Linked DNA regions of Lepisosteus oculatus. The protein of the gene in region 1 purifies or fractionates together with the protein of each later gene. This does not show direct contact. Links are inferred from orthologs where the notes say so. Each region holds a gene or a part of one and is shown on either strand. Other genes may lie near its edges.

Evidence for each region.
Region 2: the proteins of atp11c (region 1) and cell cycle control protein 50A purify together in Homo sapiens (co-immunoprecipitation; 4 studies listed by BioGRID and IntAct, with this or other methods). This does not show direct contact. The link is inferred for Lepisosteus oculatus from reciprocal best matches to the Homo sapiens genes ATP11C and TMEM30A.

What each region holds. Positions count from the first base shown.
Region 1 is NC_090703.1:49,679,250-49,695,963, reverse strand, and holds the start of atp11c (phospholipid-transporting ATPase IG), read left to right. Parts: upstream 1-9,868; 5' UTR 9,869-10,358; coding exon 10,359-10,385; intron 10,386-16,714. UniProt on the Homo sapiens protein: Catalytic component of a P4-ATPase flippase complex which catalyzes the hydrolysis of ATP coupled to the transport of aminophospholipids, phosphatidylserines (PS) and phosphatidylethanolamines (PE), from the outer to the inner leaflet of the plasma membrane.
Region 2 is NC_090697.1:9,264,477-9,280,893, forward strand, and holds the start of cell cycle control protein 50A, read left to right. Parts: upstream 1-7,920; 5' UTR 7,921-8,163; coding exon 8,164-8,412; intron 8,413-9,437; coding exon 9,438-9,557; intron 9,558-13,310; coding exon 13,311-13,418; intron 13,419-14,616; coding exon 14,617-14,704; intron 14,705-14,877; coding exon 14,878-15,024; intron 15,025-15,133; coding exon 15,134-15,340; intron 15,341-16,417. UniProt on the Homo sapiens protein: Accessory component of a P4-ATPase flippase complex which catalyzes the hydrolysis of ATP coupled to the transport of aminophospholipids from the outer to the inner leaflet of various membranes and ensures the maintenance of asymmetric distribution of phospholipids.

The DNA.
Region 1 (16,714 bases):
TTTCTGCACAGGCCCTGTATTGTTTAATTACTAGCTGGTAATGACATCTTATTAACTGGAGTGCAGAAGATTTTTTCGAGCAGTAATCCAGGGCTAAACCAGGGCGTTCAGTGGTGTGTGAGGTCTGGAGTCTAGGCATCTCCTTCGTTACAACCAGGTGTTCTAACAGCTGCTCAGGAGAAGTGAAAACAAACCTGTCTTAATGATCAAATACATTGGACTTTTTTTCTACAGTGGATTAAGGTATTAGAGGATGTAGAGCTCTAATGCAGTAACTTCCTCCAGGCACCTCCTAGGGTTAGTACATCAAACTTCTTTTTTCATTTATCTCTATTAGAAAGTGTAGGGCATGATTAAACATTTCATCTTAAACACTAGGTGTAATTATCTGTGTAACAAGTAGTGGATTGCTTTTAAGTTTCTAAGAAAAAAGGTGTTGGACAGAAAAATGGATATGTCTTCCAGCAACACAGGTACATGTGCAGCTTTGCTCTGCTTTAATGTGTGTTAATCCCTGGCCAGAGGGCACTGACCCTGCAAGGGAAATACTGAGGCATGAGAGAATAGTTCAGACTCCAGTGTCCAGTATCTGTGTCTTCTCTTGAAAACTCCCTGGACTCGGGAGATTGTCTCCACATGAATAATTATGGTCACCGGCTCTGCTGCAATACAGAAACATTTGCTTCAGGGAAAGACAACAGGACGGTGTTGTGGAGTGTTACAGGTTTTCTTAGCATTAAGAGAATTAAGGCTTGTAGACAATGACCAAAGTCGCAATTTCTGGCACATAAGCCCTTTATTCCTAATTCTAAGAACTGACAGCTGATGATACCTCTTGATAAAACAAATTTTGGACATCAAGCATTTATTAATCTTCAACTGTATGACTCCCACTAACCTACAACACTGTATCGTATCCTGTTGTGAGTGTGAACTTGCTCTTGGCTTCTATTCACTATTCAGCCCCCACTAAGAAGACAAGTCCCCGTCACAATATTGTCAAGGCTCTGTTGGTTTTCTGGTTCAAATCCTTGTTCACGCTGTTTGCTGAGTACTTATCCACTGTGACAGCCTTCAGCCGTTGAAAGAGGTCTTCCAAAACCAGATCTTTCCTGCTGGGCAGAGAGTGAAACGGCTCTTTCAGCCCGTGTTAAGTCAGCCCTGCCAAACGGAGCCAGCCCCACAGGCACCCTTACTGTGTCAGGCTTCGGCCTGCCCTGCTCTGCTCTGGCACGGCCACGGAGGTGTTTCATAAGACACCTGCTCCCGAGGCAGCACAGAGAAGGGGAACGATTTCCCAGAGCTTCTCAGAAAGAGTAGGGGTGTTACCCCTGTGTCCTGGACAAATTTCCCCCTGGCCTTTACCAACCATGGCCTCCTAATGATCCCCATCTCTGAACTGGCTTCATCACTCTGCTCTCCTCCCCCCTGAGAGCTGGTGTGTGGGGAGAGGACTGGAGCATCATCCAGGTGGGGCTGCACACTGGTGTATTGGTGACTGGTATTTGGTATTGCTGATTTCTGGACTCGGAGGAGAGACTGGGGCTGTGGACTCGAAATCAGGTTGTGGGTTCAGATGGCGGTGAGCAGCAGGAGTGAGCAGGGTGCCGGTCTCAGACCACCCCGGTTAAACAACCACCCGCGTCCGTGGGTACAAAGCGAAGTCGCTTGATCATAAAACCACCAGCCCAAAGCTACAAAGCAGAATAAAGACGTCAGTTCTGTACCTCAGAGGCAGAGGTACCCAGACTTGGCGTCAGTTTCTGCCAGCTAACTTCTGTTCAACCATTTTTTTTTTCTCCATTTTGTTCCCTGCGCATCTTCAGCCGCATGCTGCTGAAAAAGAAAACGGCAGCAATTATTCGGCATTCATGGGCTGCATACTGGCGGGGCTTTTGTGGGAGCAACACGGTGTACTCCAGACAGAGGAAGAGCTCTTCCTGGCACTGCGCACCTCCGATGAAGCCCATTGTGGGGTTTATATCAACTAGTGTTCGGAAAACATCTTCACTCATCTCCCCGAGCAGCCGCCTGAGCAGGAAGAGGTGCCTGTTCGAGGAGGAGCTTTCATTTTGCCATGTTAATTAGAACCGATGAAGAAGCAAGTAATCCAAAGATGTATGAAGACATCTGTTTTTTTAATAAAATTCTATTTTGGTGCAAATGATCCCGTGAAAGAGGCAGTTTCTAACGATATCGTGACACGAGGCGTTTTCATAATTTAGCCCTGATTTGCGCTGCAAAAGAAGTGAATTTAATTGAGAACTGCATTTATAGCCGTTCTGGTACAATTATACAATTACACTGTAATTGAGTTTCTGCGAGCTCCAACGTTTCCACCAATTTACTGCACTTTCACTGCAGTTAAGCTCCAGTTGCCTTTCATCGGATGTAAATTTCTCTTATTTCATAAAAAATTAAACATAATTACTCATATTCAACTGTGCCATTTTCAACAGGAGGTTCACACTAGTTAGCTTGCATTAAACCTAGAGACTGTCAAATAAGGATTTTTTTAATGCAAACCCTTTTAAAGACATGCGACAGCTGTACTATTAGATGGAAGGTGATTGATGCTGAAATAGCTTGGATCACACTGCTACAACTGGGAGGCCTACCTAATAGTCCAGGTTTCACATTTTAATGGTGTATATATTAAATCATACCTACCATGCTTGTCTGTCCAAGAAGGGACATTATCTCAATTAAAGGCTATGGCTCGTGATTGCAGTCATTCCTCTGAGTCCAGGCATGGCGATTTGCTTTGTCCTGGGTGGGTATCGACAGGCAGCAATGGCTATAGCAGACCTCAGGTGGCTCATAAAGCAAGGATCTAGCAACATCTTGCCCGCTGTGGACAGCCTATCTGGTGAATGTTAACAGACAGTTCCCCAGTAGCATCTCTGTAACAACAATTGCTGTGTCTTTGTTAACATTGCTTCGTATCAGCAGAACACCAGAGAAGGAAAAAAACGTTGCTTTCTCAGATGAGGCCTGTTTGCAAGGCCCAGCAGTGCCTTTATTGTAGCAGGACTGCTCAGATGGAACACTGTACTTCATGCTTTAATTGGGCTATGCTGAAACAGGGCAGCTTTAAACATTTTGTCTGCCCGTTCTCCCCTTTTGAAAGGGGTTAGAAGTGAGACAGAAAGACGGATGTGGCATTTCATCATCATTTCACCCATTTATTTATTTTTTCTGATCCAGGACAAGGCAGACGGAGCTGTTTCACTGTGACACGTGGCAGTTCAGGGTTCGATTCACTGGCTGTCTGAAGCTGGGAGCCTAGGTCTGAGACAAACAATAGATTCTAAGTTACTGTTTTAATTCATATCCATTTTAAGGGGGGAAAACACAGCAAAACTGCTGCCTATTACTACTTGCAATTAAAAGAGATATGGCAGGCAGCACAACAAGCTCCACTCTTAAACAGGCTCTCTGTGACCCAAACTATTGAATAAAACTAATAACGGTGAAAACAGAGGCAGAGAGTGAAAAAGAGAAGGGGAGATTTTAACCAACAGATAAGTACTTAGAGACCTTTATAGAGTATAGTGCTATTATCTCCGCTGAATAAAACTAGGATTTAGTGGTTTTTCCACTTAATTTAAATCAAAGGAATCACCACCTTGCATATTGCGCTGGTAATGTAATGGAGAGAAAATCACAAAAAGGCTTTGTGGGCACTGACACCTCCTATAGTGGAGCTGTGTTGTCCAGCAAGAAAAAGGAGAGAGGAAAGTTTTTTTTTTCTTCACTCACTATCTGCTAACACATTCTAATTGATGCCATTGCATTCCTCCGCTCAGCGCATTCAAAGAATAACGAGCTCAGAGCTGAATGCCTATGAATTGGTCCCTTCCCAGCAGAGCAGTAAAATAGCCCCCCTGCCCCCTCATCCCCCCCCCCACAATCCCATCATCCTAAACCAGTGCCACCACCACTTTCCCCCATTTACCTCCGTCCTGAAGTCCTCACTCTAGTTTAACGCCCATTAATTCAGGGGGATTGTAAAGAAATTCAGCCCACAAAAGCTGTCAATCTCTCCTGCCCCCCCTGCTCCAGCCCGGACCCACACAGGCTGGAGTGACAGCGTACCCTCCTCCACACACACAGTCCCCCCCGCTGCCTCCGTGCACAAAGCTTCAATCTGTCTTTCGAAGGACCTCTCTGACTCCCCCCCTTGCAGGTGCCCATCAAAGCGCCCACAGATGCCCCTGCCAGCCCCTCGGCGCGCCACGCCCAGGAGCAGGACAGGAAGTGCCGCTGACAAAGGGGCAGTGTGGGAAGGGGGCGGCGCAGGGAGGAGGGAGGCGGACAGATGGCCGGGTCTCTCTCGGCCTCCCCGGGAGAGCAGGGGCAGTGCAGGAATGAGCCCTTAACTTCCACTCCACCACCAGAGGCCTGAACAACAACAACAGAGTTTGTTCTCAAGCACCTACAGCTCACAATCTGAACTGGAAAATACCTGTGGCGTTAATAAGTCAATTGGTTGACAGTACCTCGCTGTGCTCATTTAAACTAATTAGAAGTTCAACGCGATCTCAGAGTTATTATTAAGCTTGTACGCCGACACATGCTTGTAGTTTGCTATTCATACTGCAAACAAACACAGCTTCAGAACCATCTCCATGTCTGCGAGCTCTGGAGTGTGACTGCAGCTTGCTGGCATTGCAGAAACATTGTCAAAGGACAGGGACTGCGACAAGCACAACTTCAGATCTTGAAGGTCCAGGGATAAAGACAAGAACTTTAGTTCTTTAGTTCAGCTCTCAGTGTCAAGTACAGAATCCAAATGCAAAAGTGCAAGTAAACTACATAAATATGAAGGCACCTGCATTCTGGAATTATATCTTGTCTTCTGATTCTTTTAATCTTTTTCATTTTTTAAGGCTGGTGGGGTTCATGATGATGATGATCATGATCAATTGTGTATAAAATTATATACATATCAGAACTCTTTCAGAATTCAGACAAAAATATATCGCTTTAACTATCTATGGGAACCTGAATGCAGAAACCTGAAGAATTCAGTGCATTTCTCTCTGTTAAAACAGGACTACAGTTCTTAAAAAAGCCTAGCTCTTGTGACGCCTGTGCACTCAGTACCCGAGCTCAGCTGTGAACACAGACCCTATCATTACCTACAGCCCCTTGGCTCCATTATGTCCCAAGATTATGGTTTTGGTCCTACGAGGCGCACCTGAGAGCCTCCTTTACTGTCTTGACTCTCACTGCTAAATGCTAGTTTGAATAGGGGAGGAATTTTTAACTGAAATGACTAAAAGTACGTAGGAAGAAAACACTCGATATTTCGAAATCAGCACGTTAGTTAGACAGTTAAAGACAGCGATCACTTCAGAACTGCCACAAGTCCTCAAGACTGAAACACAGACGCAATTCAATATTTGTGGTTACTTTGACCACGTGTTTTGGCTCAGCTGCTCTCCGGACTTACTGTGAAAGTGGCATTGTTCAGAATTCTTACACATTTAAGACAGAAGTGTGGTTCATTAAACTAGCCAGTAGCTTCAGGCCTTTTTAGTCACCGTGACTTTTTCTCAGTGGACTTTTTGATTGAATACTACACAAAACAAGAAGCCTGTAATGTAATACGTGTTACTAGGCTGCCACCTTCTGGGCATTCTGTGCATCTGCATCTGCTTCACTTAAAGGCGTTGGTATTTAGAAGGAACAGGTTTTTCTGCGCCTCACGATTTCCAGCGTGCTGCGGTAACAAACAAGGATATTGTAAAAGGAAGAAGCTCTTATTGAGCGCTGCGCTGGACTACGGTATGTACAAAAGCAGATCGCCTAAAACCAAAGCAGACACACGCAAAGTGATCATTAGCGCCGTGCAAAAAAACAGGAAAGGCGCGTTCAGACTAATCTGTTCATATGGCACCTCACTGACACAAAGACAGATCAAGCCGCTGGATGAAGGACCCCAGACAATCGATTAACACGGTCTTCTACTTCCAAACGAAGGGAGTAGCGCCTTGCCTTGCTGTCCTAACCTCGCTTGCGAGCGATCTCCAGTCCCTGTAACCCTGGTGTACTCCTTTCAGACTGACAGCCCAGGGGTCAGCTCTCTGCTCCTTTCAGGAGTCTGAATACCCAGATGAAACTCAAGCATTGTCTTGTCGTGTACAGCCTAAAGGGATTGAATGTTTCCTCTCACCAGTGCCACTAAAGTTTGTTTTTCACCTCTCCAAAGAAGCGGCGTGTGCTCTGACCCTACCGTGGTGACAGCACTCCGCAAGGTGTTCACTGTGTGTATCCTCGCTGGGGTATATCAGCCCGCTTTTCAACAGCGTGTCGGCGCAGACTAGTGGCTCTCCGTAACAGGGCATTAATGAGCGGTGGCTCTGTGGCTAAGGATCTGTGTCTGTGACTGGAAGGTTGCTGGTTCAAATCCCGCGGCCGGCAGAGGAATCCTACTCCGTTGGGCCCCTGAGCAAGGCCCTTAACCCCAACTGCTCCAGGGGCGCCGTACAATGGCAGACCCTGCGCTCTGACCCCCAGCTTCTCTCCCTGTCTCTGTGTCTGTGTCTCCCTGGAGAAAAGCTGGGGTATGTGAAAAGATGAATTCCTAATGTAAGAAATTGTAGAGGGCTAATAAAGAAACATTAACATTAAACACTTACTCAGCTTAAGTACTTTCTGATTGATAAGTCTAAAAGCTGCTGGTTCACTCTGTGTGTATGGGGTTTCAGGTCAAGCTGTTCCAGCAATGACCTGGGCTCTCCACCGACTTCAGAAGGCAGGTCAGAGCCAAAGTTGTGTCTTTTTGGTCCCCTTATTAAGGAAAATAGTTGCTTCCCCCTGAGCATGTTAGATTAGCCCTCGGCTTCAAAATGTGCTGTTGTTTAAGACTATAAATCTCTCGAAAAGGATCTGCGTCTCGCTATCCCGGCACAGGTTCCCTCTCTGAGCAACAGGTATGCGGCCGCACGCCTGAAGCTGCCAAACTGCAGCTGTGTCACTCACGTACCCTTGGTGGGTCTTCCTGCGATCCCTCTTCACGCTCCGTTCAGCACACTTCTTCCGAGTCGCCCTTGTCCGCCCAGACAGGCGTCTCCTGCTCCCGGAAAGGTGTGCGCGGGGCTGGGGGGCCTGATTGACAGCCGGCCCCTGGCCTCGGTGTTTATACTAAAAAGGAATATCGCCCTGCTCTCACCCTGAGCCCCCCTCCCCCGGTCCTTTCTGCTCCACGGGTAGCCGAACCTGAAACGAGGCCGATCAGGACCAGATCTCCACTGTCACCCCTGTCACTCCGCGCCCCTCCCGTTCACAGCCGCGTCTGGAGAGCCTGACAGATCGGCTCTCAGCTCCAGCGAGGTGGAAACAGCGCTGACATCAACGTTATCATCCCAAATACCCAAGGAAGTCTTCAGTTTCCGAACGGATTTACTAAATACAAATGTAGAAGGTACAAGAAAGGATTTTATTCTTTAATAATTAATAATAATAATAATAATTGCTTACACTTATATAGCGCTTTTCTGGACACTCCACTCAAAGCGCTTTACAGGTAATGGGGTCTCCCCTCCACCACCACCAATGTGCAGCCCCACCTGGATGATGCGACGGCAGCCATAGTGCACCAGAATGCTCCCCACACATCAGCTATCAGTGGGGAGGAGAGCAGAGTAATGAAGCCAATTCATAGATGGGGATGATTAGGAGGCCATGATTGGTTATGGCCAATGGGAAATTTGGCCAGGACGTCGGGGTTATACCCTATATACTTTAGGGCTTCGATTTGATGCCCCTACTGATCATTTTATAGTAATACCCACGCAGGGGAGCTTTTTTAAAATAATAATAATAATAATTGCTTACACTTATATAGCGCTTTTCTGGACACTCCACTCAAAGCGGTAATGGAGATCCCCTCCACCACCACCAATGTGCAGCCCCACCTGGATGATCCACCTTTTTCCTCGGCCAAGTCTAGCTTTTGTATTTATGGGAGAATAACGCCGATTTCGAGGAAGAGGCGTTTTGCACATCTGTCTCACTTCCTACTGAGAAATCAGTGTTTCCTCTATTCGTAAAGACAGACACGGAAACCTGCAGAAAACGCCTGTCAAAGGGGAAGAAATGTCATTACTTCCCTTCAGTTGCGAAATAAAGGGAAGGTTTTGCAGTACCTAAAAAGGCCACGGCGGGGAGGTAAAAGCAAACTAAAATCATTGTACCTAACGTTTGTGTACAACAAAATCACACATTTTACTTTTCTTCTCTTTCCAGTGAACTTTTCATTTAATGCGATCTGGAAATATTTCACGTCATAAAAATTGAAATACCTTCTACTGACAGAAAGTTATCTCATTAGTTTATTTTTGAGAGGACTGAATATATTGGAGACATTTGTTTTTTAAAATACCAAGTCGTTTCACATCGGTTTAGAGCCCCGGACATATCTTTAGGTATTATTTGCTACAATAAGAGAGGAACGAGGAGAGGCTGTCTGGACTGTCTAGCTTGTTTGCTAGTTAGTAGCTAATTGACTTCAGAATCTCGTCTAGTCGTTTTCTGAAAGAAGCCAGGGCAGCTCGGTCCACACTCCCACACCCCTTTGTGTAAAGAAGTGCCTCCTGTTCTCTGTATTAAATGCACTTCCAGGTAGTTTCCACTTGTCACTGAGGAATCCCAACGTCTTGAAGGACTCTAAATTGACGGATTAGGCCCCCCCCCCGTGGTCTTCTCAGTTTCAGGCCTGGTGGTTGAGGTGGGGTTATGACACAGGTGTTCGGATTGTGCATACTGTATCTCCAAGGTTATTGTGAGATTCAGTGAGACTTCACCTTAGAATGCATGTTCAAAGCCACACTGGAATACACAGGGGATTGGCATGTCTCTGAACTCTTACTGTTGATTAAACTTTGACCCTGCACGTCTCTCTCTCTGTGTCTGTGTGTGTCTGTGTCTGTGTGTGTGTGTGAAATCAAGTGCCGTTGACGCAGGTATTACACACAAACACAGATGCACACAAGTACTGCGTGTGTGTGGTGTGAACACGGGTTGACGCAGGGACAGGAGTCTGGGTCGCCTTATTTCGGGGCCCCTTGCTGTTCTGCCGTGACCCCTGGGAAACCCCCCAGGTCCCCTCTCCAGCCGCTGTGCGATGGGTGTCTGCGGACGTGCAGGATGTCTGTGCTGAGCCCCACTCGGGGGGCTCCCAGTGTGGGCGTGCTGGTCCTGGAGGGGGCTGGCTGACACAGGGCCGTCGTGATCCAGGACTGGGGCTCCTCTCAGACGGGGGTGGTGACGGTCCTCTGCTCCGCTCAGCGCCTGTGCCTGCGCCATCGAGACCGTGTTTGGGGCTGCAGGGTGGAAGCATGAGTTATTCCACCAAATATTATTCATGCAAATCAACTGAAAACAATTCGTTTGAAACTTTGCGATTCATATTGGTAGATTTTTCAAATATATTTCAGGAGATATTTTTCTTTACCCCCTGAGACTGAATCATTTTAAAATATACGAATATCAGTACTACTTCAGAATCTAGATAGGACCATTTCTTTAACTGCTACTGTAAGCTTTTTTACCAGGAGCTGGTAAAAAAAGAAAAACGAAAAATACTTTTTTATATTTTATTTTTACCGTATTTACAGACTGTTGTTTTTATAAACGGATCAGAGTGGTTCACAAGCAACCTCCGTGACAGTGACACAAAGAGATTGGAATGCTCTTTCCCTTTATTGCCCCTGCAATCGGTTTGATGGTTTTATCACGGGCTGATTGTGAAAGTTTCTGTGAACTTTCTTGTCCCAGCAGCAGAATCTGCGGGGAACTACATTTCCCATGATGCAGAGCGACGACCGTGCGTCGGGGGGCGGCGCTACAGAAAGTGGAAGTGGTAGCTTCGAGGGTAGAGATTGTTTGACAGGGAACAGGGGAGGGGGGAGTTTGCCGTGGTAGCCGGACTGTGCTGGACTTCGGATCCAAACTTTGTCTTTTTTTTTTATTTGCCCGTGTCGGTTGATACGTCGCCCGCTGGGGAAGCAGGCTGGTGTGCGATGAATGCGTCCGGGTGAGCAACAGGGCGCCGAGAAAGATGCAGCCGAGCCGCCTGTAAGGGGAGGACAGCAGCAACAGCCGCCAGCCCGCAACGCGGAAAATCAGTGGGAGAGGACGGTTTGGGAGTCGGAATCGGCATGGACGTGGACACAGCTGTGATGTAGCACAGCCGCGGCGATCCAGCGAGCGGAGCAGGGGAGACGCGCAGGCACTCACACGTCCACGGAGGACGAGCCCTCACCACCCCGAGACAAAAGAAACTGCAGTTCTAGTGTCTTCGGACCAAGTGAAAAAAGAAGAGCCGAGGAGGAGACAGAAGCTGCAATATGCTGCGAAGGAGGTTCAACCGGCTGGTAGGTACTGGAGACCCGACGTTAGACTGTACCTCGACTTCAGACACAGCGCGGTGTGTAAGACGAGGAAGACTGCCGACACACGGGTGCATGGCGATCCATCATCGTGAGGGGCTGCTCTCGGGATTTGTAGCCTCTGAGTCGGTATCTCTCCGAGCAGAGTCGCCCCTTCTGCGTTTCGCGCCGCGTTTCTAGTCATCCGAGTGGCAGACCCGAGCCGCAGCTGGCTGTAATGTGTCTGCAACTTCCTCCGGGAACCCGCGTCATGTCTTCCCTTGAGTTTATTTCCCCGTGACGGACAGCCTGCCCGCCTGCCAGGGGCGCGTGCCGCCAGCCCCTCCACGCGTGTGCGTGTCGAGGGCTCGTTGGTCGCCGGTTTCGGATCCCTCTCTCCCCGGGGGAACGCTACACAGTCGAACAGGGAAGAGACGATTAAAGATAACTTCGCTGTGCCGCCTCTTGCTACGCCGCGCTGTTCAATATTTAATTTCCTAATGCGGCTTAATAGCTGCCCTTCGATCAGGACTGAATTGTCATTTCGCCCCGTCAGGGCTGCGCGCTTTCTCTCGTCCTTTGAGTCGTGTGGCTGGTTTACTGTAATGCGTCTCATCCCAGCCGCTCTGGTGCGTGAGGCGGGTGGGTTGTGTGCCGGCGTGTGTGCAGCGAAGTCGGGTTTTGCTTTCGGCGGTGTCCGGTGGGAGATGGAGAACCCTGCCTTGAATGGACTGGGTTTGATTTTTTTTTTTTAAAAAAAAAAGCAAAAGCCCAGCTCTAGCTGCCTGTTGGTACAAGTTGGTAATTCCGTGACAATCCGAGGCACGCGGCCAGAATAGCGCCTGTCACGGAGCGCAGTGGGGTGTCGGGGGGGGTGTGAGTCACTCCACTCCCCGCAGTAATTACTGCCCTGCGCCGCTGTCACTTACCCCAGAGCCGGAGTCGCCTCTTACTCAAGCGTCCCGTTGTTTGGGCCTCTTTGTGCGCGCCAGCCAATTCTAAAACGATTAATTGATCGGTTAATTAATTTATACTTGATCCATTTGTCCAGCAGCGCGGGTTTGCGTGCTTTCCCAGGGCAGGCGGCGGCAGTGTGTGTGTGTGTGTGTTTAACCACAAGGTCTCAGCTCAGCGTTCAGGTTGCGGTCACTGCTGGGCAGTGCTGGTGTCTCTAAGCTACCCCCACCTCCTGGCTGGCTTGTTTTTGGCGCCCCTGAAGATGTCCTGAGCGCTCATTTAACACACCTGGCTGCGACCTGACACCTGGGCGCTTCCAGGGAGTTCTACTGCCTTTACTGCTCTGTTTCCGAGGTTGCAATAATAATAATAATAAACTTTGTTGTGTAGCCCCTTTAGAAGTGGCTTCTCGAAGAGCCTTAGAGTAAGGAAGAAGCACCTGAGGAGAAGAGAGGAGAGGAGGCCAGACAGTCACACAAGGTGCTCGTGTGCGGTTGTGAGAGAGGTTGTGAATGTGTGTGAGGGAGGAGGCCAGCCCAGATCTGCCCTGGAGATAACCCCAGGGCCAGCTTGCCTGCCCCGAGCAGGTCTCTTCTAGGTGCTCTCTGTCCAGCTCGCTCCCCCGTGAGAGCAGGGTGGCGTCCAGCAGCACTGCGGGACATTGCGCAAGACGGTGTGCTAAGATAAAAATTTAGACGCCTGGCTTTCCTAGCAGCTGGGAAGTCAACACGGGCCTCCGTCCTCGGGCCTCGGGCCTGGTGGCAGCGCTGCACGCTCGCTGGAGAGGAGCGCTGGGTTCCACCCTGGTGCGGGTGATTATCACAGGGGGACTGCCAGGCTGCAGCCGGCCTGCAGACTTTAAGGGGGTAAACGGGGTGAGGGGGAGCCCAGGGCTGAAGGAGGAAGGATTGTGAGCGGAGGTTTCCGCCATTTTCAGGGTTCGGTTTGCTCAGGCATGCCCTCAGACGGAAGAAAGCGATTCTCTCTGTGGCAGGGCGATGGGCACAGGCTGTGATGTTCGCTCGCTCTTACAGGACCGGCGTGGTGGTTATGAGCCTCGCAGCCCTGGTGCCCTGGGCTGCTGTCTGTGTGGAGTTTGCATGTTCCCCCCCCATGTTCCCGTGGGTTTTCTCCGGGTGCTCGGGTTTCCTCCCGCAGACCAAAGACTAGGTGGGTTAACTGGCTTCTGGGGCGGGTGGCCCTGGAGTGAATGTGTGGGTCTGTGTGTGCCCCGCAGTGGGCTGGCGTCCCATCCTGAGTGCGCCCACTGCTCGCCAGGCCCGGGCTCCGGCTCTGTGGTCGACGAAGAGGTGCAGAAAATGGATGGGCGATGCGTGCCTTCAGCGCCCTCTTTTTACAGCGGGCTGAACCTGGGCTCGGGGCGTTACTGTCGCTGCCTTCCAGCACGTTCCCAGAGCCAAACCAGACCGGTCACAGCACGGCACGGGCTCTCTCTGCTCTTGAAAATTGTCTTGAACGCCAGCTCAGCTTTTATTGAAATCGGCCCGTGCCCCTGCAAATTCCAGGAGCGATGAACAACGTGTTCGGCAGAGCCGCCCTGCTGTCATCAGCGCACTTTGTTATTGTCTGAAGTATGCTGCATGCCTCACATGCGCACAGAGCTGCGGTGTTGCGGAGAGGCAGCTGGGCAGCGCTTCTGACATGAAAGGGGAGGATCTTCAGCACAAGATGGCTCTTGTAATAAGTCCTGCGACGGCCCTTCAGTGAGTTTTAAATGCACGAGCTGGGCAGAGCCGCAGAAGCGTGAGGAAGTGTCTTTTAGTTGGAGCCGCCCAAGCAGTGTCTTCAAGAAGCTCTTGGATCAGCATTTTTCTGCCATTCCCCACACACACACACAGAAATGGCTTTTGGTGACTCAGTCACCGGGGTGAAGAGTAAGACCTAGGTTGAAAGGCAGGAGGCACTTCATTTAAATACGAAAACAGGGGGTGTGTTTTTTTTTTACACAAAGGGTAGTGGGAGTCGGGAACTGGCTGGCTGAGATCCCTTGATCAGTCGGCTACCAAAAGAGGTGAAGGGGTTCGATGGGCCGTTCAGCTGCCCTCGTGCTCACCCTGCCCTTCACTCTGGGGGGACTCGGGCTCCCCGCAGCGGCCTTCCTCCTGTCACCCCCCATCCAGCCCAGCCCGGCGGGGTCACCCCCTCCAGCCCAGCAGGCTCACCCCCTCCAGCCCAGCCCAGCCCGGCGGGCTCACCCCCTCCAGCCCAGCCCAGCCCAGCCCAGCCTGGCGGGCTCACCCCCTCCAGCCCGGCGGGCTCACCCCCTCCAGCCCAGCCCAGCCCGGCGGGCTCACCCCCTCCAGCCCAGCCCAGCCCAGCCCAGCCTGGCGGGCTCACCCCCTCCAGCCCGGCGGGCTCACCCCCTCCAGCCCAGCCCAGCCCGGCGGGCTCACCCCCTCCAGCCCAGCCCAGCCCAGCCCAGCCTGGCGGGCTCACCCCCTCCAGCCTGGCGGGCTCACCCCCTCCAGCCCGGCGGGCTCACCCCCTCCAGCCCAGCCCAGCCCGGCGGGCTCACCCCCTCCAGCCCAGCCCAGCCCAGCGGGGATCTGGCCGTAGGGGCCTGGCATGGTCAGTTAGAGAGGTGTCCTGTACAGACCAGCTGCTGCACAGCTGAACAATGAGCATCTCTCAGTTTGCAGTCTCCCGTCGTGTTTTGAAGGGTAGCAAGAGGATCATCATTCTTATTATCGATCCTGAAAGAACTCTAGATCACAGGCCCTCAGCTGCGCACCTGGGTCCCGGCATCTCACCGCAGCGGTAACAGCCTCCTGCCAGCCCGAGCTGAGCTGGTGAACTGGCCGAGATGCACAGCACAATCACAGGCCCAATCCGAAATCCTCTGCTGGCCCCTGTCTTCCCAGGTCGGATTTCTTTTTCTTTTTCGCTTATCAATACAGATTTTTTTAAACAGCAGAATTGACACAATTGAAAGGAAGAAGGAGGTCGGAGCTATTTCGTATTTTATATTTATTTCATGGTGATGGGTTTCCCTTATTGCCCTTCATTCAATGCCCAGGATGTCTGGGACACATTGAAGAAAAGAAAAAGACAGGATTCCCAAGGCCCTCACCTGCTGGGACAGTCGACTCTTCCCTCCCGCTCTCTTTATTTTTTGCTGTCGCCTCTTCCTGCCCCTGAGGAAGATGTGGTGGTTTCTGTTTCAAGCAGGTCCTCAGAAACTGGGTATGGGTTTGCTTCCACTGGGTAGTGCAGTCATAAGTCATTGTGGGTCCTGCTTTGGAAAAACCTTCCCGTTCAGTTGTTTCACTGCCAGCGTTTTGTAAAGAAGGGTCTTTCCCACCTTGTTTTAGTGGGGGGGGAAAAATGGTTTGGCAGTGCCCAGAGCAGACGGGTCTTAAATGCCGAGCCCCTGCTTTTGGAGCTCTTGTGAAGAGACATTTGAAGTCCAGCCCCCGAGGAGTTCTAAAGTTGTCTCCCCAACTGTTAATTATGGAGTTTCATGCCAGCACCACGTGTGTTTGATGTGTGACTGTGGTTTTAAGTGTAGTAGCTTGCAAGCACTTCCAGTCTTTAACCTCTGCTTCTTGATTATTTTTAGTCGCTTTTGTTCTTCAAGTGGTTCCTTATCTGCTCTGAAAAGCAGCCCTGTGCTCTTGTCCCTGCCTGGGACTCTCCTGTTCACAGGCTGTGGTACATTGACAGTGCGGGGCACTCTTTTTTAGAAACCGCCTTCCTTTTTAGCTGCTTACGGCTGTGGCCTAGCTGCTGGAGGCTGAGCTTCACTGGCAGGGCTGGGTGTGAAAGCTGGACCGTGCCGATGAGCGTGCTCAACAGCCTCTTTCACCAGACCTTCCCGTCAGAGCGACTCGGACTTTTCACATGTCCCTTGTGCATGTCCCATGTTGGGATCCGGGCTGCTAAAGGCATGAGGGGCTCCCTGTTCCTGTTTCTGCAGGAAACCACAGGTTGCATGTGGGAAATGAGTTCTGCTTTTTAAACGTTTCTATAATTAGACCAGTACTTACCAGGCTTGGTTGATGGCCACAGTTCTTGGTTGTTGCACGCTATAAAACTAGCTGCATAACATCATTAATTTGTCTTCCATTTTGAATTATTTATAAAGGAAAGCTGATTGCTGGTTATAGCGCACTGTCTGCTTCTGTACCGTATGTGCTGTGTGAGCTAGTCCACTCCACGCACTATGGCAGACGGGCTGTAAACGTGTCAGCTGGTCGGTCATGGCACTGGTGTCAGGCTGCCCCCTCTCGGTCGGGCCAGTGGGCTGCAGTGGGGGACTGCAGTTCGCGCAGGCAGCGGCAGTCGAAAGGAGTTAAGAACAAAAGTCTGGGAGGGGTGACAAGAGGCAAGTTCAATCAGTGATTTGTATTTATTCCTGCCATTTCCTCACCTAAGACGTTATGAATACAAACGCGTTCGGCCAAGTTTGCTGTGACTAGGACACAGTTCCCCGGTTAGCCAGCCAGCCAGTGAGAGTCTGCAGGAATCGGTGGTGAGAGGGGAAATGGGCTGGTCTTATTTAGCAAAAAGCCACCCACACTCTGCCTCTGCAGTGCCCCCCTTGACAATGGCTCGTTTTCAAATTGTAGTATGAAGGGTGTGTGTGTGTGCGTGCGTGTGTGTGCGCGCTGATGGACAAAAAACCATCCCAGACCATAGTAGCGCCTCATGCCCGACTAGGGGGGAGAGGGACCGAGCCCTGTGGTGGTGACCCCGGGCGGTGCACGATTTCCCAGGTGGGGGCACGCAGCCTGCGCCTGTGCTGCTTCCTGATTTATACTCGGTGCTGTCAGGGGAGGCTGGTGCTTATTGATGACAGCTTTGCAGATCCGTTTTGCAGCCATTTGTCTCGTCCTGGACCCGGGGATCAGGACAGAATTGCTTACTTCAACATCTCTCCTGTCTCCCGGCTGGCCCCTGCCCCCCGTTAATGAAATCGGAGAGCCGGAGTCCTTCCGCATCGGATAAAGCCTAATAAATACATCCCCTGGGGAGTGAGCGGAGTGTTGGAGCACTGGAGCAGCAGCCAGCGTCCCTGAGCTCAGCAGTGTCGTGGTCAGGGTCCGTGAGCCCTCTCGTGCAGCGCTGAGGGTGTCCGCGCAGCCGTTCTGCGTCTTCGGAAAGCGGACGGGGGGTGGTGATGGTTCCCAGAGGCTCTGCTTGCTGCTACAAGTGAGGTCCTAACTGGCAGCCCAGCTGTGTTCTTCCTGCGTTTTGTACTCTTCAGTGATTCACTCTTTTCTGAACAGCTCCCTGCCTCTCTCGGTCCCCCCTAGCCAGTAGGAATGCCTGTAAAAACAGAGCCCTGTTCCTTCGTTCATACCGTACATTGATGAAGCTTTTCCCCAGGAGTTGGACGTTCTCCCTCTCCAGCCCTG
Region 2 (16,417 bases), on another chromosome or scaffold:
CAGAGCAGACTCATTACTATAATAAATCAAAGTCTAAAAAACAGTGCTCCAAACGGATTAATGGATTAAATAAAAATGGAAGAAGAAAATGTTTAGAGAAATTAAAGGAAGATCCAGTTAAAGAAACTGAGGACAAGGAACTGCAAGCACAAACCAATATACTGTAGAAAGGTCAAGAGTGGGATATGAAACTACAAGAAGATGAGAAAGAAAAGACTAATTGAGGAAATTAATATTTCACCCTGGTGCTTACGGAGGAAGTGATTGGCAACCTGGCTCAAACTGAAGAAAGGCAGGGGTATGTATTACAGTAATTGGTCTCAGCCCTAGAATAGACAGAACTAAGAAGCTGGAGCTCTTAAAACATACACATCTTCACTGTTAACTGAACTAAAGGAAATGGTTGTATGTATTTTAAAACCTTGACAAGCATTTGGGAGGTTCAGCAGAGGGGTCATTACTATTGACTGGAAAATTGCAAGTGTAGCATGCATGCACATAAGGGATGGAGAATCCTTTTTGTCCTGACAGCTCTAATTCTGTTTTATAAGAGGATGAGAATTAGACATACATTAAAAGATTCTCACAATGGTAGAATTATTCTAGAGGGTGATCAGTATGTATTTAGTAAATGTAGGCCTTACTTAAAAAAACCTGTTACACATCTTTCAAAAAGAAACAGTAGGAATTAATTCAAAAAGAGCTTGTGAGATGGTATATTTGGATTTTATAAAAGGTTTTGATCGAGTTCCAGGTAAAATAATATTTCTTAAATGGCAGGCTGGAGATATCAAAGGTATAGATATGTATGTGTTTGGTCTGAGAAGGGGTCAATGGATAGAAAAGAGAGAGTACAGATGAAGGCTGAATGTAATCAATAGTGAATTAGAAGTATCTGGTTTAAGACTTAGTAAGTACATTTAGTAAACTGGTCATGTTTGCAGATGATCCCAAAATAACAGGAAGTTGTAGAAGCTGCTAAAGAAATGCATGAAGAAATGATTCAGGACTGACAGATGACATGTCGTCTAATGCACATTTCCAGTGTTACATGTATGAAGCAAGAAATAAACTGAGTAAAAAATAAATGAACCATTAAGAAGTGGCTTATGAAAAAGACTTGGGAGCTTACATCGACAAATCGTTTTCCCCCTCCAGACAATGCTGGGAAGCAATAAAATGCTAAACAGAATGTTATGTTATGCTACATACAGTACTCAAAGGTGTAGAATTTAAATGAAAGTATGCTATCTTTAAACTGTTCAACGTAATAACGAGACCTGATTTAGGACACTATGCAAAATTTTAGTCCCCATGTTATGAAAGAGACATTACTGCTCTGGAATCAGTCTAAGTGAGACTTGCCAGACTTAAAGGAATGTCTGACATTGTCAGGTTAAAAGAACTGAAACTTTTGATTTTAAGTCGCAAATGAAAAATACTACAGTACGAAGAGACTTAATTATTGTATTCAGAACCCTCAACGGATAGCAAAGACTTCTGGAAGATCAATAGTGAGACATGAAAGGAGGACACAAATAAAAACTGAGGGATATTGAATTTAAAACTGAGAATAGGAGGCAATTCTTTATGCAAGTAGTTCTGTGAAGACTATGAAGACGTTATACAACATGTTGTAGACATTGCCTCACAGACCTACAGTAGACTCATGTACTGTATTAGTAATAAAACAAATCGGAAATACCATATGGCTTGCTTTGTATTCTGTCATATTCTTATCAGTATTTTCTCCCTTCTGTAAAATAATTAAAAAGTGATTTTATCAACTTTGTCCAAATAAAACAAGTAAAATGTAAGCATTTAGCAAAAGATGGACTGTTACACATTTGTTTTTAAAGAAATTAGCCTTAGGTCTAAAATTGGCTAGACTTATCAACAGGATCTCCTAAAAAACCTGTAAAAGAACTGTAAGAAATTTAATCTAGCCTCAATGACTCACACGAATGCTTGAAGTGTGCATTTATGTTACTAAAACCTAATTTTATTTTTACTAGTCAAAGGCTATATTTGAGAAAATAAAAACTTTTTGTTTTTAACTTCCAGACCTGGAAACTGACTAAAACAAATCATAAGAATCTTCACAAAATTAAAACTAAGTACTTGATGCTGAGCATCTATTGGACAGAAGTAGGAACCGCCTGGGAAAATTTGCATCCTTCAAATAGTAAGTTTGCAATCTAAGATTAGTGAGTGAGTGGAAATTTTGACTTAATCCAGATCCACCATCCCAGGGTCAATTAGGATTATAAGTGCGTATCTGAAACTCAACACAGCTGTAACACTAAAATTACGTCATGTAATTCATAAAATTGATGAACTGCAGTTTAGTTACTGTCATCCTTTGGTTTAAGGAATTTTATAATTTAGTAAACATATGTGAATTGTTGCAGATCATCATAAATCTGGCTAAATTAAATTACATCACCTTTGTAAATTTGACACTGGAAGACATCATGGAAATATGAATCCAAATGCATTTAGAAAACAGAGCATCCTTACCTCATTCATAGAGTCTGTGTACAGCTGTCGAAAACAACTTACCAACTAGGTGGCACACAAATGAATAGGTGTGCTTGGCAATCTTTAAAGGAAATTATTAAAATTAAAATTTCCTTGCCAGCAGAATTCTGTCAGCACAGGGGGAACTTAGTGACCTTTGTTTTAGTGGTATTTTCTAAAAAGTTAATGATTTATGCTAGAACTGACGAGATAACCTTGTTCCACAGTTGTTTTTCATATTTAGACTGTGCACCCTAATGATCAGGGTTGAGAACCCTGCTTGCAAATTCTTCGTACACAAAGTCACATGATGGGGAGCTACAAATAAAACATTTTTTTTTAAATAAAATGAACTGCTTGGAGTTATATTTGTTGTAATGAATAAACATTTATATGTACAGTACCTTGTATCTAGGATCATTTTTTATTTAAGGTACATAAGTGTAAAGACCCAATATTAACCATCATACTCCAATAATGCTATTGGATGCAAGCAGAGTCAAACAGTTCCACAGTAATGGATTGTCTGTGTATGTGTGGGGAGAGAGACATGCATTTGTGTGGTATTCATGCACACATTCCACTGTCTTCAATGGAAGACAAATATGTAGCTGTATTTTAATTTTAATCTAATTAGAACTTTTATTTTCTTCCTTTTTAGAGTGTTTCCATATCAGATTAATGACTTGTACAGTATGTTAAGAACAAAATATACATAAGTCATATAATAAACCTGCTCTGCAGCAATGCCATATATTTATCTCCAACTCTATCTCTGGACAGGTCTTAATTCATAAAATATCAATCTATATTTTTTATTAGTCTTATCCAGTACAGGGTTGTGGTATAGATCCTTATTAAATTGTAACTTTTGAAAATTTACAAAACTTAAATTTAAGAACAACTAAAAAAAACATTTAGTTTTTTTTTGTGGGGTGAATTAAGTGATTTACTGAAACAAAATCTGACGAACCTGAAACCTTCAACCCATAATTACCAAAGTCCCTTTATTGAAAACATTTTTACTTGTGTAATTAATATATACCTCACCAGGACTCCCAATCAATAGAACGATGAAGGATGAACCGGATTTGGGCTCAACACAACCAGTGCTGGTCTCCTGATATAAAGTGTTCAGTTGCAGAGCTGGTTCTCCTGGCTTTTGGCAGAGCACATTTCACTAGATACCGTTCAGATATCCTTGTCAACAACCCTGGGATTCATGGGGCTGAGCTGTGCACAGGGTAAGCCTTTGGGCTCATGGTTGGTGACTAGGTTGGTTGGTTCAAGTCCACACTGCAGACACTGCTGTTATGTCCTTGATCAAATCACCTGCCTGCTCCGGTCCACCCAGCTGTATCAATGGGAAACTGTGTTGCTGTGGGGGGGGGGGCATAATCCCTGCAATAGTCTGGTGTGTGATCGAAGGGGGTGGTATGTGCTCTCTAGTCTGCTTAATGATGCAGACAGAAATAAGAATAATTTCTGTCTTAATGAGCAACTTTGGCACCAGTATGGACTTTTTACCCTGAGACGCATGATACTACATTTTTGTGAGGCACTTTGTCAGGTTGCTGTTTATCTCCCTGTGTCTGCAGTCTAACGAGCTCTGATGGTCTATTGGTGGCTTCTAAACTGGACCGAATGTGGATCCTCCATGTCACTAATGCCTTTAGTGAGTGTGGAGCAGGACTCATTACCAGCACTGAGCCTGTTACAGAAGGTGACATCACCTTCTTGGAGCCTGGGTACCCCTGGAATCTGACCTTTCTTCCAGGCAGAATTCACTGCTCTCTGGCGGGCGGTGACCGTGAGGCCCTGAAGCTGGCGTTGCCTGTTAGCGACCATGATCAAATTCTGGCAGGGGCAGAGCCGCGCTCGTCACAGGCTCGGTGATGTCAGCTACAATGAGAAATACAGCCTGAGGCCTCCTTCTCCCCCTAATTCTGGGTGGTACGACAATGGATCAATTGACCACAGGTGTCTAAGCCTCCTCCTGTTTCACTTTAGATCATTACAACTTAAGGAAAACTACGATTGTCCCCCAAGAGACTGCATGTCAGGTTGCAAATGCGTGGTGCTCGAAGAATTCAACTCTAAACTCTGAACGTTGACGTGCAAGGCTTGTTCCACTGTAAACAAAAATGATGGAGGCTGATTAGGCTGTGATTTTTCATGTTGTCAGCAACAGTAACCTTCCAGCAAGGGCCTCTGCTGCCAGGTGATGAAATCTCCTTAAATTATGGTTTTCCTGTCAAGTAACCATGTCAAACACAACACACTGACCCTGGTTTCTCTATTATTGTTGGTTCTCCTTTTTTCTCACATATGCTTTAACAGTATAGACCAGTGGTTATCGGTTCTGGTCCTGTGGTTTCAGCTTCAGCTGGGTTAACACCAGTGCAAACTGGTGCCAGTAACTGATTTGCTTGCTTGTTTAGGCCTCGGCTTCAAAAACACTAAAGTCTTCAGTGTATTATTTCTAACATTCTACAAAACTTTATGAAATCTCTCCTGAACTTGCTGAGTAAGTTCCCTTATTTCTAACTAAAAAGCTTATATATACATAAAGTAATATGCAAGCTTGAATAGGTGACTGTTTTATAATGAACAGATGCACATGGGAATGATAATATATCAATATACAAAACACTCCTTCATGAACTGAGAGTTTTTCCTTGTCCAATCAGTCATATTTCAAGGAAACACACTTGAAATGAGGTCACTTCTGGAACTCACTAATTAGTATAAGGCTGGAGCCAATTACAAATTCCTATTCGCCTTTTTGAGAGCTGAACGCAAATTTTAAATAGGTCTTGAATGAAAACTGGGATTAAGATGGAGCAATCACTCCAACAACCAGGCGGAGCAAAACCCCAAGGGCGGAGATGTCCCCCAGGGCCAGAAAGGAGAACCGCTGGTGTAGAAAGTCTTCATTAGAGAACACAGATCAGCATGGAAGATTCCAGAAAGGCATGGTCTGGAATATTTTAGCAGACCTGAAACCATATCATGCCAGTATGATTATTACCAGAGCCCCAGCTAGCTCTGTGGGTAGAGCATGAGACCCCCTAATCTAATTCACCTATGTATTTATTTATTTTGTTTGTCTTTTGTTTTATAACTATTCTGATGTCTGTTTTGCTTGTCTTGGTCTGGACTGCTGTAACACATCAATTTCCCTACGGGATTAATAAAGTATTATCTATCTATCTCAGGGTAGTGGGTTCGTGTCCCAAGTCGGGCGCCAGGTTGTCTAATAACCCATACTGGGCAGCAGCAGGGTGGGGTGGTGTTGGCGGCGGAGGATCACGTTTCCGTGACAACGGCAACAACGCTCGCGCTATCTGTGTGGAAGAAAGGCCTGGAATCTACTTCTGTATCCTGCCATGAAAACTGTGGATAGTGACAGGGGAACTATCCATAGGATTGCCATGACCCGATGGTACTCATCCCATCCCGTGATTATTACCATGAAGTTCAAGTGGAGAGCTGCGTCCGCATGCGTAGGCAGTGAAGGAACATGCAGAGGTTGATTCCACGCTGAAAGGTAAAAAAACGACACCTGAAGGAGGCTCCACAGTCAAAACCTTTACCTGTTCCTGATTATTGCCATGCCAGTAGAATATGTTTTCAGTGGGGTCCCTGGATCCAATTGGTATGTCTCAGTATTTTTAACAATTATTTTCTTTAACTTGTTTGAGGACCATTTCTATTTACACTATATACTCTATACATATGTTGATATAATTGTAATCGAGTTTATATTGATGTTTTTGGGTGATGCGTTTATCCTGAGACTTATATTTGCACCACTATATACAGCTGGAACAATCTAGCCAGCAGCCATATCACCACTCAACTCACAACTGGCAGCCCACTGAAGCTCAGCAGGTGTGAGCCTGATCAGTACCTGGATGGGAGACCTCCTGGGAAAAACTAAGGTTGCTGCCGAAAGAGGTGTTAGTGTCACCTGCGGTCTATGTGGGTCCTAATGCCCCAATATAGTGACGGGGACACTATACTGTAAAAAGTCGCCGTCCTTCAGATGAGACGTTAAACTGAGGTCCTGACTCTCTGTGGTCATTAAAAATCCCATGGCGTTTCTCAAAAAAGAGTAGGGGTGTTACCCTGGTGTCCTATCCACATTTCCTCCTAATAAACCTGATCTCTGAACTGGCTCCATCACTCTGCTCTCCTCCCCACTGATAGCTGATGTGTGGTGAGTGTACTGGTGCACAATGGCTGTCATCACATCATCCAGGTGGGGCTGCACATTGGTGGTGGTGGAGGGGAGTCCCCATTATCTGTAAACCACTTTGAGTGGAGTGTCCAGAAATTAATTATTATTATTAATCTCAAAGGTACAGCAGCAGTGTCTCTCCCGGGGATCTGAACCAACAACCAGTTCAAGTCCAAAACTCTATCCACTTACTGCACACTCCTACCCTGCAGTTAGTAAACTGTAGATGACTGCAGATATTACCAAAATAGGAGGATCATCAAACACTGTAGAAGATTTAATGGAAACTCAAAATTTCCATTTCCATTGACAAATTCAAGCGAACACATGAACTGTGAAATTCTGAACTTGAAGAGGCCACTTATGAAAAACAAATAAGGTGGTTATCTTGACACAACATTTCAATCTTGACAGTGTGGCAAAGCAATAAAAAAGTTTAGATTGACTTTACTGTTACTTTAAAATTATGTAATGCACTAGCAAGACTTAATTCGCACTCGCAGTACTATCTGTACAGTATTGTTCACTGCGTTACAAGAATTGCGTATTTTTGCTCTGGAATTAGTGCAGATAAATCAGACACAACCTCGAGCTTTAAGGATTGTTCTACACTGACTGACTGAAACGCACAGAACCTCTGTAATCTCAAACAGTAAAAGGGACCTGATTCAAATACACGGCATGAAAGGTTTATTCATAATGTATAATACTGTACCAGAGGAGAAAGCACGGAAGAACTTTATCCTGGGATTTTTTTTTGCTACTCTTGCATCGATCACAGTCGCAAAATGACATTTTATCACACAGATGTATTCCTTAAACGCTTTAGCGACAAGCTGAATGGCGGATTGCCAGCGCCCGAGGCGAATAAGGAATTGCACAATGTGCCATAAACTGGTAACTTCATAAAGCGCAAAGATGCATTATTGCTTTGGCGCTCTGCATAAGAAAAAACATAAGAGTCAAATAAAGTCTGTGTGAGAGACAATAAGAAATTTGCATGCACTCTATTACTAAATTTATCTTAAGAAAATAAATTGTTGTAGAACACATTAAACACACAAACCTAAAGTGTTTTTAGCGCGATTAACTCTCAGTTTCCCCAATACCACCCATAGGAACATCGCGCGTCCGCTCTGCGATTAACAGACGTCATCACGCACGTTACGTGTTTGGGATTTAGAAGCTTCCTGGTTTTATTTAGTCGCTGCTGCTTTTCCTTGATGGGGGGGTAGAATTTAAAGGTTAAAGGAGTATCGTTATTGATATAATTTTTCATCGTAACGAACTACATACATGTAGTTTAGGGCGCCGGTGTTTCACCGATCGCAGCCTCTCGTCCTCGTAATTCTTCTCTCCGGGTTTCTGTGTTGGTGGTGCAGCGAAACGGGATATTAGCCATGATGGCGTCTAGCTATAACGCAAAGGAGGAAGACGGTCACCACTCCGGGGCCTCCGGGCCTGGCGGCGGTGGGGCTATCAAGAGCAAGAAGCCGGACAACACAGCCTTCAAACAGCAAAGGCTGCCCGCTTGGCAGCCCATCCTCACCGCGGGCACGGTGCTGCCCGCTTTCTTCGTCATTGGTCTCATCTTCATCCCCATCGGCATCGGGCTCTTCGTCACTTCGAACAACATCAAAGAATTCGAGGTACGGCGGTGTTGGCATGAGCACAGTATTAAGGGGTAACTGCGTGGTGTCTTGGGGGTACTGCGAATCACCTGTAGCGGTTTCGGGGCTGCAGGTCTCTGAATGATACACTACAGCCTGCGGTTCTGTGTACACTCGGATATCAACACATTATCGTCTCGGCACCAGTCTTCTACAGTGTTATTCAGTAATGAACTTTTATTACTGTATATAACTCAGTATTTTTTTGCATTCGCCCAACCTCGATGTAGTGATTTTTTTTGTTAGGTATGATGAAGGGTGTGAAAACGTATTTCTGCGTCTCTGGTGTGTTGAAATGCACTAGCACTCAATGTTGCAACGTTCATGGCCATACTCTAAACACTGTTGATTCTTCAGAATTAAGCGCCGAAGTGTGTTCAGTATAGGGACATCAGTTTTGCTCTTTCAGTATGACCGGTGTATATTTAGTGCAGTTTGCACTCTGATGTATTGCCACGGTAGTTTTCGTGAGGTTAAGTAAATATTTGATCTTAACATAGAAGGCATATGCAAAGGTAATTGAATTTCTGTTGGCTCATTCGTCCGTGTAAAAGAATGCCATTATGTTCAATCCGAGAATGCCGAGAATGCCATTATGTTCAGTGCCTTCCTTGCATTTAAAATAGTTAAAGCAGGTACAGTATTTGGTTTGCAGGCATGTGTAGACTTTAGGCATACGGTTTATGCTGTGGGTTACAGTAACAAAACAAGTTCTGTATGTCTTTCAGCTCTGCAGAAGAATGAACGTGGAGCTGTGTGTATTACTGCACTCTGATTGTCTTCTCTTAAAGGCATACTTTAGAAGTGTAATTTCAAATCCTTTTGTCCATTTAATCTCTTCATTATTGTGAACAATGCTAAAATATTGTTATACTGATCTTATTGTAAGTGATTACAGCTGGTTTTGTTCCATATTGAATTCTTGCAAGTACGTAAACCAGTTTCTTGTCTCTTAAGAGCTGATTGATTATCCCCTAGTAATAGCTGTGCCTTCTATATTCCAGATTGATTACACTGGCATTGACATGTCTAGTCCCTGCTTCAACTGTTCTCAGACGTACAGCTGGAACAGCACAAAGCCTTGTATGTGCTCTGTCCCTTTTACACTGGACCAGCCCTTTGAGGTAAGACCGAAGTGATGTGTAAGTTTTAGAGTAACTGTAACTTCATCCATTACACTTAGTCCAGTACAGAGTCATGTTGAGCCAGAGCCTGCGCTGGCAGACGAGATATGAAGTCTGAAAGACCCTGGATGGGACAATTATAATATTATGAGATGCAAACTAATATCCACCCACATCAAATCAAAGTTTATTTATCAAATGCACAACAATAATTGCTGGCAATGAAATATTTCAAGAATCACAAAAATCACAAAATTAAGGTTACAAAAATAAGGTTACCTGATAATAGATAATAATGTACTAGTAACGGAATAAACCTCAATATGAATAGAGCTGCTATGTGTCCATGGTGTATGCAATATATTATGTCCAGGTAGTGCAGTATGCTGAACTGTGCCAATATTCAAACTTATGTCTATAAGTGTTTGTCGGTCATATCTAATCACCGAGCAAACAGTATGTGCAGTTAGCAGTACGAAAAACAAAACAAATAAGAAATAGACAAGGATGAATGGGAGCTCGCAGGACGGCAGCCTTCCCTGTCGGCGCCATTTTACAGATCTTTTCCATCCATTTTCTAACCGCTGTGTCCGGTTCGGTGTCGTGGGGGAGCAAGGTGGGATACACTCTGGATGGGACACCAGTCAATGGCAGGCAGACATAGACACATGCTCACACCAGGCCCAAGTATGTGTTTGAACTGTAGGAGGAAACTGGAGCACCCAGAGAAAACCTGTAACATACATGTGGGGAACATGCAAACTCCACACAGATCTTGTCGAACCCAAGCTCCAGCAGTGCAAGGCAACAGTGCTAACTGCTGAACTGCTGTGTCACCCTTAAATTGGTATATTTTTTGAGAAATAACTAATTTCTCCTTAGGGAATTCCTGTGCATGAGCACTGAGAGAATAATTACTAGTAGTTGGCTGGAATATGTGTAAAACGTATGTCCTGTCAGAATATGTATTGGCTTACATTTAGTGATTAAATGTCAATTGTTCGGACAGCATCTGAGGTGCCTTTTCAGATGAGCTTCCAGATTCTCATCTGCTTGCGCTGCTATTAACCATGCTCACAATGTCCAAAGCCCAGCAGCACTCATGAATCAGAGTTATTTCTCAATGAATAATTCATGCAATGGAATTTTAGGTCTGGAAGTGATGCGCACAAGATCCACCTGAGACACAAATGGATGACTTTTGTTTGATTCATGAAAAACATTCACCTTTGAATTTTACATTGGTTGAAATTAACCCAGTCGTGTAATTATTAGCTGTATGTGAAAATAGTGCATTCTAGGAGCCCAAAAGTTTTCTTTCTTTTCAGTTTTTCATTCTGTCTTAATGCAGAGTATTTTTATTGGAAACCCAGTCACAGTGAGATTAATGAGTCAAGCCTGCTGGAAGATGCATCATCTGTGACAGCTTTTAATTATACATAAGCTTGGTACTTTTTAATATTTATGTGTTTGCTAAACCCAAATACCGCAAGAAGCATTTACTTTTTAAATGTTAATTGTTTTATTTATGCTACCTTTGATACCTGTTAATTGCTTTCTGGGTGCAGAGGAGGTGATAATCAGTTAACTCTCCATTGTGTATGTTAATTGACTGCAAACTTTAAACCACCTCAAATCACTTGCATGTCTCTCACTGTGACTAAGTGTATCTAGCCTTGAAAATAAAAAGTGGGGAATGTTTAACACAAGAAAAGTTTATTAACGAGGTTGTTAAGCCTATCTCAGACGCCTATCTCAGATGGTCATTAGTAGCTTGTTCTGTAAATTGTCTAAATCCTCATTTTCTGACAACATGTTATCAAGTTTTTGTGCCTCCCAGCTGTTATATTAGTAATTAAAGCTAAATACATGTTATAAATGATTAAGCTCTAACATGCTTTGGGTAGTTAAACAGGTCAAAACTACTAAATCGACACAAGTTCTTTAGATTAAAGGATGTTTTATTACAGTGTTTTGTGGATTGCTAAACTGAAAGACGGTCATTGTAAATCTATTTAGATACACAGCGTCTGATATCTTTAAATCTAATGCAGATGTTACAGACTAGGGATGGTCAGGACAAGAGAGTGCAAAATCAGATAATCAAATCTGAGTAGTAGGTCTAATCTGGTCACGTGAGTTCTCTGATACAGCTCTGGTAATAATTCAGAGGTAACCATGAGCAGACAAATATTTATCGGCCACACTGAATAACAAACACAAAACATACAGCCTAACTAAAACATTAAAGGTTTCACTATATGTAAATCAGCATGTCTCAGAGACCTATGTTCTATAGACCCAGAAACACAAAGCTAGCCCTTTAGTCTGACATCCTACGTAACAGTTTGACTGGCCAGCAGGAGTGATGAAACGTGTGTCCCGAATAAGAGTATGACCCAGCACTAAATCTGCCGTCCTACAACATGGATGGCCCCAAATTAAGGGGACTCTGTCTTCCCATTCAAACAATGTTTCACCATAACTAGAAGAGATCATCTTTAGCCTGGGTATCCACAATAAAGAAATTCAGAATTTTAAAAATAAATAGGACAGTAAGCTGTCTGAAAACAGGCTTTGCATTACTTAGCCAGTAGCTGGTGTCCAAGACTGATGAGAACAAGGTCCTCACCTTGTTTAGAGGAAGAGGAGGCTGATAGTGTTTTTCTCTCTGCCTCTCTCTCTACCCCCTCTTCCACTATCTCCCCCGTACTTTCTCCCCTGACGTTTTATCCTGTTAATTTGGAGTAAACCAGAAAAATCCCTTTGATCAAATACGTTTCTGAAGGCTCAGTTGAAGCCGGTTAAACTGGAATTCTTTCTTTTTATGGCAGCTTAACTCGTAACGCAGATTTTGAGTTTCTAAAGATTTTTATGCTATCTTCAATGTGTAAATGTATCACAAGACTTTAATTTCAGTTGAATGGTGATGTAAGCCCAGAGCGATTAAATACAACGTTCAGCCTTGTTTTCTGCATTGAGTGTTGCTATTCTTAAAGCCAGCCTTGTGTATTGGAAAATGCTTTACCTTGGGCAGGCATTAGAGTGAGCAAATGAGGCTGGATTTAGGGAGCTTTGACATACAAATGAAGGATTGTTTCGAATAGGAAATTAATTCATGATTTTTGAAGTGATATTTGAGGAACCATCCCTGCATTGTTTGACAACAATCTTAAAAAAAAAAACCTTAACATTTTGAAAACCGACGCAACTAGGCTCACCCAAGACGTGCTGATTTTACATCCAATCCTGGACCGCTTCAGTCACTTGAAATGTAAACAAAAAAAACAATGCAAAAGGAATTTTTAAATAAGGTTTGTTAAAATGAATGTGTGCAAATATTACAGAAACAGTTCTTAAGATATGATTTTAATAAATAATAAGGATTGGTATAAAAAATTGAAAATGATACAGATTTGTTTTAGAACATGTGGAGGGAACAGAGCACCACATTCATTTAAGGATATTTGAGACAACATCTCCCTGAACAGCAGTGGAGAAAAGTTATATTACTCTTGGGAACTATAAATGTTGGTTGAGATCCTTGGAGCCTGGATGGGCCGAATGACCTCTTCCTGTGTGGTAACCCTTCTCTATAAACTCTTCAGCTGAAGCAGGGGATATTGTAGGACGTTGGGGTGTGATCTCACATAGCCCACCGACTTGGCTGGGTAAATCTGGCTGGGTAAATCTGTCTGTTGTATACCCTCGTGTGCAGCGAGACTCCACTTGTTGAAATCTGCTTCCCTCCAGAGCAATGTCTTCATGTACTACGGGCTTTCCAACTTCTACCAGAATCACAGGCGGTATGTGAAATCGAGAGATGACAGCCAGCTGAACGGTGACAAATCCTCGCTGACGGTAAGCGATGGCCATGAATCGGAATATTGCAGTTTCAAAGAGGCTTTTCAAAGGTAGGGGGGTAGTCCCCGGTGCCCTTGGAAAAACACGACCGCCAGTAAGCTAGAAACAAAACCTATATACTGTGTATGTAGAATTTGGTCATTTTTGACTTGCAGTTTTTTCAGAGTAATGCAGCATTGTATGCATATTCAGTTTCGCAGGTTTAATTACTGATTGAGAAATAAAGAGCAACTTTGTTGTCTTAATTTATGGACATATGTAAACAAAATATGCAAACATTTAAGTAGTTCATGTACACTTTCAGTATAATATTAAATAATCAATTAATGATCCTGACAAGTAAGGGACCTACAAATATTTAATATTAATTTTGTCTTGTGTGACAATTTTAAATGATTTATAAATGTTGGTTCTCTCTTGTTTGCTCCTGTTTTTCAAATGTATGTTTTTCATAATGTCTTTAAAATTAGATCTTTCAGTTTGTTGTGTCTGTGCTAGAGGTCACAATGTGGTTTGTTCCTTTTGGGAAGAGAAATTGCATTAAGTGCCTGAAATGACAGACACGTGTTTCTTCTTGTAAATGTTAAAATTATATGTTCAATTATTTGCGAAGCTCAACAACAAAGTAAATGTATTTCATATTGTATATGTGTATTTAATGCCTTTAAGCCATTGTATTGTTGCAATTTGACATAATTTAGACATGGCAAAGGTGATTAACAGTTTTTTTTTATACCTGAAGATCTAATATTTTCTGATTAAAGTTCCATATTGTTCTGCTTATGGAGCAAACGGAGGATACAGTTAGTCCAATTTCGATGTTCCAGAGGATTCACTACCACAGCGTCCCAACTATGTGACAATGATAATGCAAATAAGCTCTGTGGCTTTTGATGGAAAGTTTGAAGTTCTTTTTGTTTCAAATCTTTGAAAGCAAGGTTTTATACATTCAAAGTATAACCATTCAGTCAGTGTGCTTCAGCTTTCTGTAACAGAAGGTAAAACAAAATGAACATAGAACAAAAAGAAATACAAATAAACGCTTACTTTACTGGACACCATTTCACTGCAATTAGGCATTAGGTATGTTTTTTCCTAATAATTTAAATGTAAAAAATGATTCATTGCAATAGAAATCTCTTAAGAGTAGATGTAGACTTTTCTTCTTTTTAGTTTATATGCGTTACTTTTACAGAACCCCAGCAAGGAATGTGAACCGTACCGCGTGAATGAAGACAAGCCCATTGCCCCCTGTGGTGCTATTGCCAACAGCCTGTTTAATGGTAATATCTTTTTATACAGAGCATAGAAAAACACTGTCCCATGACAGGAGGGCTATATTCTATATTATATATAATAGCCTGTATCTTACAGCAGCATTTGATGGAGTGTACATATCCTCACGGTCAAAAATATAAAGTTGAATTTTTTTTTCTCCTTTTCTCGCCTCTCCAAGACACCTTGGAATTATTTTACAACAACCCCAATGGCAGCTTAACCCCTATTGACCTGTCCAAGAAGGGGATTGCCTGGTGGACAGACAAGAATGTGAAATTTAGAAACCCGGGTGGATCAAACTCTAACCTGACTGCGGTGTTCCAAGGTACAGTACGTGATCTGTAACCCTCAAATAGGCTTCAGAAGCCGCTCCAAGGAAATTGTGGACATCTCATCTGCCACCTTTTCCTCTTTTTTTTTTTTTCCCGGCTCAGGTACTGCGAAGCCTGTGAACTGGCGCAAGCCGGTCTACGAGCTCGACAGTGACCCGGACAACAACGGTTTCATCAATGAAGACTTCATAGTGTGGATGCGCACTGCAGCCCTGCCGACATTCCGCAAACTGTACCGCATAATCGAGAAGAAGAACAACCTGATTCCCACTCTGCCTAGAGGCAACTACACCTTAAGGGTCACCTACAGTATCCTTTCATCCACAGGTCGTTTTTTTTTTTAAAGAAAAAAGGTTGAGTTTTCTTAGTTGTGTTTTCCTGAAAAATAATCCAACTGCATTGTCGTTTTTTTTTGGTACTAGAAATACTCCCATGTGATGCAAGGTAAGTAGCTCATCTGTTTGAAAAAAAAAAAACGAGTTTTACTGATGCAGTTCATGTTTAATAGCCTCTCACCATGCACAGTGCCTGCGGATTAATTCCCGCTGAAGAAATGAGACTCTTGAGATTTCTTTTAAAATACTACAGAGTTGGTCAGGAATGCAGAAAGCGTCTTTGGTGGTGGAAACCTAGCTGTTGCAGGCTGTCCTTGTGGTAAAGTTTGTGATTTAGAGCATTGTTTCCACTGCAGAACAAGACGTGCAACATTGCTTGCTTGCATAGAGAATTGGAAGTAATTAGTGGTATTTGAGTTATAGGAAGTGTTAGGTGACAATTTTACACCTTCCATGATCCAAAGGAAACTTATTTAAAACATGTAAATGTTTTAATTTGGGATATTTGATGAGAATGATATTCACTTCACCTGGAATTTTATCCCTTAAATAAATAAGATTCATACAGCCTTTCCTTTGAAAACAATAGTCTGAAACTTTCTATTATATTAAGGAAAGGAAATCCCAGAACAGAGTCTGCAAACATTCAAGTTAAATCTGTATACATTAATTAAGCGCACAGATTTAAGGCATTCAGATTTTTAGGAATAAACAGGCTATAAACAAATTAGATTATCATCATAACCTTTTTTTTCTTCTCCAGTACTTTCCTATACATTTTTTTTGCTAGAAAATGTTTAAACTGTTTCTCTGTTGCCATTAGAATCAGAGCTACCATTAATCAATTGTATAAATTTTGATTTTAAATGTACTTTAGGTAGGATAGGATAATTTAAGAAACTAAATCTGCTTAATACTTTTTATGTAAAGATTTAAAGTCACAAGGTACCATGGTTGATTAGTCTCAAGGGTGAGTGTATATATATTATTTTGAAGTTTTTTAGGATTGTGTCTCGGATGGTTCTTTAAATCCCATGCTCTAGTTGTACTG